2 linked regions of the Coturnix japonica genome follow. The protein of the gene in region 1 binds, or shares a complex with, the protein of each later gene. Links are inferred from orthologs where the notes say so. Each region holds a gene or a part of one and is shown in the gene's direction. Other genes may lie near its edges.

Region 1 (4,536 bases):
CCATCCTGTGTTTCTCTGTCATTTTACTGGCTAAGGTTGAGCATTTTATTCCATGCAGCTGTGCTTATGTTTGCTGCCTGATTGGTAGAAATTGCCTTGGTGGAGGGTTTGGTAGCGGGTGAGGATATCACAGATGTGAAGATGATAAGCATGGTGTTGGATTCACCTCATCTTTAAAAAAGTGCAGGAGTTGCTGTTAATCTTTAAACTGTTAAACTCTAACTTGTGTTGAATGTGACTGCACTTCACACTGACAGTCAGTGTGCTGATCTCAACTGTCATGCTGTCCACATGCAGGTGTTTATATGCCGTTCCTTCTTCTGCGATAGACTACTTCAGGCAGGCGGCTCGAGAGATCATAGAGGAGAAAGGGGCAGTTGATGCCCTGGCAGCAGCTCTAGCCCATATTTCTGGGGCATCTTCCATACAGCAGCGTTCCTTACTCAACTCAGCTGCGGTAAATAACATTATAACTGCTTTAACAAGAACAGATAAAAGGATTGCTTGAATTCTGTGCAAGTGTGGCATTTTAGTACCTTCTCTTCAGGACCTTTGAGTATGATTTCTTAGAACTGTTAGCTCATTCTAGTTTAATGTTCTTTAATGGAACTCCGCACTTACTGGCATGCTGTGGGAAACTAGAGAGACTTGGTAACAGTCAGCACGTTTTCTTGCAATGAGACACCAAGTAATTGTGCTGGACATCTAAATAACTCAAGTCTTTGATGCTACAGAAGAGCCTAATTAAGGAATCCTTACAGTCTGATAGGCTGGCTCTTGCTGTTGTAGTTTACCTTTTTCAGGAAGCACCTTACTTCCTATAAGCTATAGGCTGTCCAAGCAAGTTCAGTTTCCTCTTACAAGTGTATTTCTCTGTTACTCCCAAAGGGCTTTGTGACTATGGTGTTACAGTGCTCTATAGAGATGCGTTCCATGAGCTACGCCTGGAGAGGGCTGAAGGAGCAGCTTGGCGAGGAAATAGACAGCAAGATATCTGCCATGCGTTTCCTCAAGGGGAAGATGGTAAGACAGCCCGTCCTTTGGGAAGGAGGGGTGGCGGTGTTGGTTTGTGTGTGTGTGTGTGTTCAGTTTTGTGTCCTGGGATATATTTGTGGAAAGAAAATACCACTTTATTTATTTATTTATTTACCTGTTGTTACAGGGGGTGTGCTTCGATATCCCCATGGATGAGCTGAATAACATACAGGTACATTACAGTTGGAACAGTTGTGTTATGTGAAGTGGGATATATGGTCTTACCTGGGATTTTGTTCAGGGTGGGTTAGAGGATGGGGTGTGTGACGTAACAGGGATGCTGCACTGAGAGATGGGCAGAAGCATTGGGTTATTTCCTCTTTTTCCATGGCTGTGCTGTGCTGTGTTGGTGCTGTGCCACTCGCAGTGCTGACGTGTGGTGTCTGTGTCTCAGGAGCAGTGGCGGGACACGCGGCGCTGGCAGCTGGCGGTGGCCAAGGAGCTGCCGGAGCTGGAGGAGCAGCCGCAGGACTCGAGCCGCAGGCCGCAGCCGCGCTTTGGCGGCTTCAAGAAGAACGGGAGGTTCGGCGGCTGGCAGCAGGGCCGGCCGGCAGGGGCAGCCGTCGAGTGAGCGCGGACTGTCCGTGTTTTTACCACATTAAACAGCCGTTGGACGCTCGGCCGCTGTCTGATGTTGCACAAAGTCTCGCGGGTCGCCGTGACGGCGGGAGGGGGGCGGGGCTCGCGTGACGCGGGGCGGGTGAACGGCGGCGGCGGCGGCGACAAGATGGCGGCGGCGGGCGGCTGGTGGGCCGCGGCGTGCGAGAAGTTTCGCAACGCCAAGACGCTGTCGGACGTGGAGTCCCGTAAGGACCCGGAGACGGAGCCCTACCGCTCCAAGTACAGCGCCCGAGCGCTGCTGCAGGAGGTGAAGCAGCAGCTGAGCGCCGCCGAGGATTGCAGCGAGCCGCGGCTGCTGGCCGTGAGGCGGGCCGTGCTGGAGTTCGAGCTGGGCGTCAACCACACCGACACCGAGGAGCTGTCGGCGGGAGAGGAACATCTGCAGCGCTGCACGCAGCTGCTCGAGCCGCACCGACTGAACCGGGACTGCGTGTCACTCTACATCCAGGCACAGGTGGGCGGGGGGGGGCGGGGTGTCGACTACGGGCTGAGGAACGGCCCGGGGCTGGGGGAGGTGAGGCCTGAGAGGCTGCACAGCCGTAGGGGGCTGGTTTGAGACCTTATTGCACAGCCTTGGCTTTTACTTGCTACCCAAGTGGAGTTGGGGAATGTTTTTGTTTTTAATCTTACACGTAAGAGGAAAATTCTGAAGAACATGATCACATCCTCTGGATGTTTATGTGGGAACCCGTCCCTTACATGCACACACACACACACACACACACACTTTCACTTATGTAGAGCAGTTGTCCCTTTTAGAAATGGCTGCTGTGATTTAGGAAGGGCTCTGGAGTACTTCACAGCCACACAGTGTAAAGCTGCAAAGGGACTGTGTGCTTCTGTGAAGCGTGGATCAGATGGTGGCTTCTTCTGCTCTACCTGAGAAGGAGAGGCTGTAGTGAGGTGGAGGTCACCCTCAGAGCAGGTAACAGCGATAAGATGAGGGGTGATTGCCTCAGTTGGCACCAGGGGTGATTTGTGTTGAGTATTAGGGAAAAACTCCAAAAGAGCAGTGATACAGTGGTACAGGCTGCTGGGGAGGTGCGGGGAGTCACCATGCCTGGAGGTGTTGCAGAGCTGTGGGGGTGTAGCACTGAGGGGGTGGGCTGGGTGAGCTGAGAGTTTTTCCAACCCTAATGACCCAAATGGCTGCCCATTTGTGGTACGGGGCACCCACAGCTTTGGGCAGCATTCCCAGCACCCCACTGCCACTCCAAGGAAATAATTTCTTCCCAGCAATTTTACTGATGTGCTGGAAGTAACACTTGAGAATCTAAATAAAAACCAAACAAACAAAAAACCCAAAACACAACACTGAACGTCAAGATTGTGGCAGCCAGTAGTGGCTGTACTTTTACATGAGTACTCTCCAGTGCTGTAAAGTACACTGTCACCTCACTGATGCCTGTTTGGCAAGGAGGAGCATTCCTTTTCCTACCAGGCCTGTTTCTATAGCCCTCCTCCTCCTCCTTTCTGCCTTTCTGCATAAGGATACATGTGATGATTTCTGGCTAATTAAATTTGGTCAATTCTGTTGCACAGCTGTGGGCAAAGTGTTTTTGTTCATAGCTGTCATGATACGTGTGGCTTTCTCTTAAAATATAATAAAATAGAAGGAATCGAAAGGTCTACAAGGCTGGCATTCAGCTACATGTAAGAGCTTTCTGAAGGTTTTTTGTTTCCAGTCCTGTTAGATTTTGTAACAGCACGTGCTAGGAATTAAATTAGCCCACTAAACATGGGTTTGCAATTAGCACCTTCAACTTAATAATAACATTAGGGTTGTTTTTTGTAAAGAGTAGATGCAGTGAGACGTTACCATGCACTTTGCTGTGATATTCACTACTGTCTTTAAGTTTGTGGCTTTTGCACCACAGCACTTTTTAATTTCCTCGTCAAAATGTGCAGGTATTCATTCCTTCCACACTTTTTCCCTATTAGGTTTTTCCACAAAGACTCAGTGACAGATTTATTTGTCCTTGACTCTCCTTATATCTGTATGATTTCAAGGTTGCTTGAATCAGGTGCAGAATAGACTGTGTACAGAAACCTTTCTATATGAACACACCAGGGACAATTTAGCAGGGTAAACACAGAAAATTGCCATTTGTGAGGTGACTTTGTATGCTTGTCTCTGTGAGAACCCTCCTCTTTGAGCAGCTTGTGATAAAGTAGGTGAGAACAATTTTTGCCTTTTGGAATCAGTTATATTAGGCAGATACGTAGGGTTGAAGACCAATAAATTCTATGGAGAAAATGTTTAGTGTAAGTGGAATTGATTGGAAAATAATTGCTTTTTTTTTCCCTTTTAACTTCAGAACAATCTAGGTATCCTATGGTCCGAAAGGGATGAAATTAAAACTGGCCAGACTTACTTGGAATCTGCAGAAGCCTTGTATAATCAGTACATGAAAGAGGTACGGTGCTTATTAATCTGGCAGCAGCTCTTACATTCATACACCACTTACAGTTTTGATAATTGTGGAAGAAAACGTACAAAACAACTTGAGTTTGTGAGCTTTGTGATGTCGCTTCTGAAAAGCCGCGTGGTTTGTTTACTGGCATAGAAGGCGTAGGAGGATCACTTGATAATTCCAACATGGATCTGAGAAAATAGTTTGTGTCAGAAAACAGTGATCCTTATTACAAGGTCTTTGAATTGATACTCCAGTGCTGAATCTGGCTTCTGATTAAGATCATCCCACTTTTATTATGGGAATGCTTTAGAAGGTCAGGCAATTGCTTTTGGTTCGAGAAGGAAAACAAACTGTAACATCTGCGTGGTTTTCTCTGACTGAACGGCAATGTCATGCTGCACAGAGGCAAGTAGTTCAGCTTGTTTCCAAGAGGACAGTCTTCTGAACAGCTAAACCCCTTTTG
Region 2 (4,695 bases), on another chromosome or scaffold:
ATGCAAGTCACAATGCACACTGAGGATGATCTCAAGAAAGTACTGATGTGGAGCAGCCAGTTAACTCATTGAGGAACTAAGCTTACAAACCAGTCATTCTCTTCTCTGAAGCACTAACTTGAGTTTCCTCCTACATACGTATTATCATAAGATTGCCTCTAATACACCCAACCCTACCATTGAACAAGGTTAATTAACTGATTAGTGAGTTCAGAAGTTATCACAGGTGATGTGAAGAATATACAGCAAGCTAATGACACTCCATTTCCCTACTCCCCAATTATTATCAATAATAAATTAACGTGGTGCTTTAGAAGTAGAATGACGCACCATCAAGAAAAACAGAGCTTCAACCATATAGAAACAGACAGCTTGGACATTACTTCAGATTGGGAATCAAAGGTGATATTAAATGATAGAAAACAAGCAAAGATCATCAAGCTCCTTTTTATGATTCTCTCGCTTTGGCTATATGAAGTAAGAAATTAGTGGTTTGAAATTCACCTTGTTCACTCGACTTCAAGGCCTCTTTGATTTGCTGTTTAATTTTCATTGCTTCTTCAGCAGTCAAGTCCCCTTTTTTCAGGGTAACCACTTGAGGCTGCTCATCTTCATTATCGCTGCCATTCTCAGAATCACTATCCGCAAGTGGAAGCTGTTCTCTCTAGAGAAAAGAAACAAAAGCAAAAAAAAAAATGATATAAATCAATTGGAAAAATAGAAGGCAGTGGTTTTGGTTTCAGGTCAGCAGTGATGCAAGCCATTGCACAGCTCACAGTACCAGGTTCTTCCAATGTATTTCAATGTATTCCAATGTGCTTTGCCCAAATGACACAAATCTGTCACATCCTCCAGTGTGTGTTATTGCAGCCCCAGTCCAGCAAGGACAAACATATTTATTTATGTATTTTAAATACGGATTTGCTTGTACTTGGCAACTAAAACGGGCTCGTAGGACTCAGTACAACTGTTCAGAGAATACACCATCATTGCTACAGAGTCTTATGTAACGGAATAAAAAGCACACACAAGCCCTACGGCCCCTACTGTAGCAGCTTATCAGCTGATATGGCCATTTTAACCCTTTAAAGACCATTAAAGACCATTTGAACCCTTTACAAGGGACACGATGCCGAGCAATGAGAAGGAAGCCCCTCTCCTCATGGAGGCCGTTACCTTGGTTTCCACCGTGGGCCCCTCCCGATACCCGACCTGCCGCTTAAAGCGGCTGAGGAACGCGGGCTCGGCCGGCCGCACGTAGGAGACCTGGTTCCTTTTGCTCATGGCCGCCACTTCCGGTGGCGGAGGACGGCAACCGGAAAAGAACAGCCAGCACGCTTCCTACTTCCGCCTCTCTTCCTATACCTTCATCACGTGACGGGGGCAGCAATGCTTCCAGCCAATGAGAGGAGAGAATGCAGAACAGGGGAAGGGATCGTGTAACGAAATGGCCGCTCCCTTGTTGGCTTCATGATAGGGGAGGAGCCACGTTGCTTTCGGCTCTTAGCGCCAAATTCAAACAAGCCGCCATTTTGGAGGGACAGGGGGCGGGCGGGGGGTTGTAGGGCTCCCGTGGATCATGGCTCCCGGCACGAGAGGTGAGGGGGATAAGGGGGTGATCAGGGTGTGCAACTGAGAGGGGCTGGGGGTACCTCAGGGCTGTTGAGCTGAGCGGGCTGTGGTGTGTGGCCGTGGGATGGGATCATCTCGGGTGTCCCCGAGAGCATTTATATGGGCATTTATCAGTAATTCCTTTCATCTACCTCATTTTATTGTTCGTCTTTTGTAGATTTACGTGACTCCGCGGTGCCTGTGATGAACTCATCCAGGTAAAGTATTATTGGCTCCTACGAATAACTCTGTGTGTGGGGGGGGGATAGTGCAAATAGTGTCACTGTAGAAAGTAACGCTGAGTTTTTCACGCGGTGTTTTTCCCACACAGGACTGTCTATATCTCAACTTAGTGATTTAAAATCAAAATCCCTAAATCAAAGTGTGGTTCTGAGGCATCGGATTTCTCTTAGAGCTCTTGGATCTCCCACCAGCTCTACTATATCTCTGAGGGATTTTTAGGCTTCTGTGCAGGAGTTCTAAGCTAAAAGAAAGACAAAAAGCCCTCCAAATATACACAGTTTCTGCCCTGTATGACAAAATACTTGTCAAGTTAGTGAGATGTCTGAAATCCAGTGTCAAGTCTTCATTGGTGGGAAGGTCCACCTCTGCCCTACCGCCAACATCCGTGTCAGATGTCATGTGCCAGAATAACAAAATAGGAGGCATTACTTCAGAGTGTTCAACAAAGAACAAACTGTTGTGTCCACTGATTAATGTGAAATTGGCCGGGGAGATTTTAATTGTAGGAGCTGCTGTCCTTGATCAGATCATTGATTGTGAATTGATTATTCTCTCCCTATGAAAAGCAAAGAAAATGCAAGATTTCTTTCTGTAATATATGTGTAATATATGTAACCATGTGTTCCGTTTGTGTAATCTTTTTCTGAGTTCCTGTAATGAAGAGGATGCTTGAAATCTACAGCCTTAGAAATTGCTCAAGCCCCATTGTAACTGCAGTGGTCTGTGTGGTCTCTCTTCCTCCCCTCTCTTTGTACTTCAAATTCTCTGTGATATGTGTTCCTTTAGAGCTGTATTTACAAGCAGAAACAACAAATCCCACCAGCTTTATGTTCCTTTTTAATCTGCCACATTGTAAGCTTTAATATTGTATCATATAATGAATTCGTGTGTACAGCCAGAAGGTCTGTAATTAGAGGAAATATGTTTGTATGATTTCAGGTGCTTAATCTGATTTTTCTAATGTAATTCTAACAAACAGCTGATATTTCAAAGAAATCTAATGCATAAATATTCATTTAGCGTTGAAGGGGATGCTATCAAGGTTTACGTAAGAGTACGTCCCCCTTCAGAGGGAACTGCATTAACTGATGGAGATCAAGGCTTGTGTTTATCTGTTCTTTCATCAAACACCATCCGTCTCCATTCGAAGCCTGAGCCGAAGATCTTCACTTTTGATTATGTTGCAAATATGGAGACAACACAGGTAATAACGTACAGAATTCTGTAGTGGTAGTGCCGGTTTTCCCCAGATTTTGGCAACTGCTGTGTTAAACCTTTTTAAAGACATAATCCCTTTGGTTGTATATTTGGAGGGTAGGGGGGTCTTAGTTTTTGCTGTGTTCTATTTGGTAATATATGGTTGTAGTTCAGACATGAGGCCCTGAATTCCACTTTTGAGTAGTTTTTATGCATATTTAAGCACCATTAATTTGTTTAATCAAAGCTCGTGTTAGAATTAAAGCTTCTGTTTGTAAATATGACAGTAATAACATGAACAGAAAATAACGCCCTGTGGAGATAATCACACAAAAATAGATGGTAGCCAATAACTGATGTTAAAGATACGATTTGTTTGTTTGGAGTTTATGGCCTTATAATAGCTGTATGTAATTTTTTCTGCTTGGTCTTAATGACCTTGGTAAGGGTAATACCAAAGGGAAAATGCTCCAATTTAATCTTGCATTTTTGAAGTTCTGAATATAATTTTCATTTAACATCACAAGCACCACACTTATATTTCTAAGCCCTTAAGGAATTCTCTCCTTCCTGCAATATAATCTTAATGGGAAAACCTGGAAGTAATCTGTCTGAGTTGTTTCTGCAATATCCTTACAAATGGTGATTAATTCCTTGGTTACATGAAGCATTGGTTGTATAAGGAGTAAGAGTGAGTTCTCTTTAATAGTGCTGACTTAAAGTGTATTCTAATAAAGGAGCAGCGTCATCCTTCAAGTGTCATCTGTCTTTTACATGATGAACTGCTTGTGACAGCATCCTGTCGTCCATCTTCATGCAGAACTCTGCATAGAAGTTGTGAAGTTTTTAATAAATGTCATAAGAACTCATAACATATACAGCATCTCTAAAAGAAAACGAAACACTGTCAGCTATCATTTGCAGCTAGGCTTTTCGTGCATGTCTAGGAAATGGCTATAAGCCACATAATTATAGTAAACATCAGACAAAAACTAATATTATACGTAATAAACATTTTGAAACCGTATTGTGGCGAGTTTGCTCTTTCAGTTATCAAATAGGAATAGAAAGTTTTTTACACAGAGAGTGTTCTACACCACAGACTTGCAATGTTTTATGACTTTTTTGCTGCAAGAGATCTCCAAGGGTCATGATAACCTGTCTGACCTTAAAGAATGCAATTGTTTTATATGTTACATAGAGTTATCACGTAGAAAAGGCTGATAGAAGAGATACTTAAAGTACTGGAGCCAAATTCCTTCTCCTTGCTTTGTCCCCAGGAATCAGTATTTTCAAGTGTGGCCAAAAGTATTGTTGAATCATGTATGAATGGCTACAATGGAACCATCTTTGCATAGTAAGTCAATTAATCGCATTTCATAGCAATTACGCTATTTGAGGAGACTTCATTGATGACTAATAGTGGTTTTAATTTCCTGAGTCTGCTTCATGTTAGACTAGGCTTTGAAAATCCTATCTTAGTTCAAAACAATGTAGGAAATTGCACTATTGAAGTATGTCTTGTTCCGCTTAAAAAATCTGGTGGTAGAAGTTACGGTCTTAGTACTGAAGGTCAACAATGCGGATCGCAAACTCATTTCAGTGTCTAAAAACTAGAACCTTTATAGTGATATTAAAAAGAAA

The links.
Region 2: the proteins of KIFBP (region 1) and KIF15 are in contact, whole or in part, in a cryo-EM structure (PDB 6ZPH), measured with the Homo sapiens proteins. The link is inferred for Coturnix japonica from reciprocal best matches to the Homo sapiens genes KIFBP and KIF15. Residues at the interface, in NP_056449.1 of Homo sapiens: Lys26, Tyr33, Lys36, Ile106, Glu109, Ile147, Ser150, Glu151, Glu153, Thr208, His209, Tyr212, Tyr213, Gln216, Gln219, His220, Phe224, Gln238, Glu248, Trp249, Ile251, Asn252, Thr255, Gln258, Phe259, Asn262, Tyr415, Val416, Thr417, Glu421; in NP_064627.1 of Homo sapiens: Leu187, Glu189, Ile191, Lys192, Lys193, Arg231, Glu232, Arg235, Arg271, Met280, Arg281, Leu282, Lys283, Glu284, Ala285, Gly286, Asn287, Asn289, Arg290, Leu292, Ser293, Gly296, Gln297, Ile299, Ala301, Val303, Asp304, Val305, Gly306, His312.

What each region holds. Positions count from the first base shown.
Region 1 is NC_029521.1:8,805,598-8,810,133, forward strand, and holds the start of KIFBP (KIF-binding protein), read left to right. Parts: upstream 1-1,651; 5' UTR 1,652-1,666; coding exon 1,667-2,110; intron 2,111-3,974; coding exon 3,975-4,073; intron 4,074-4,536. UniProt on the Homo sapiens protein: Activator of KIF1B plus-end-directed microtubule motor activity. Required for organization of axonal microtubules, and axonal outgrowth and maintenance during peripheral and central nervous system development.
Region 2 is NC_029517.1:39,703,509-39,708,203, reverse strand, and holds the start of KIF15 (kinesin-like protein KIF15), read left to right. Parts: upstream 1-1,564; 5' UTR 1,565-1,579; coding exon 1,580-1,598; intron 1,599-1,789; coding exon 1,790-1,829; intron 1,830-2,874; coding exon 2,875-3,058; intron 3,059-4,331; coding exon 4,332-4,408; intron 4,409-4,695. Other genes in the region: uncharacterized protein KIAA1143 homolog, read right to left, coding at 505-664, 1,177-1,284. UniProt on the Homo sapiens protein: Plus-end directed kinesin-like motor enzyme involved in mitotic spindle assembly.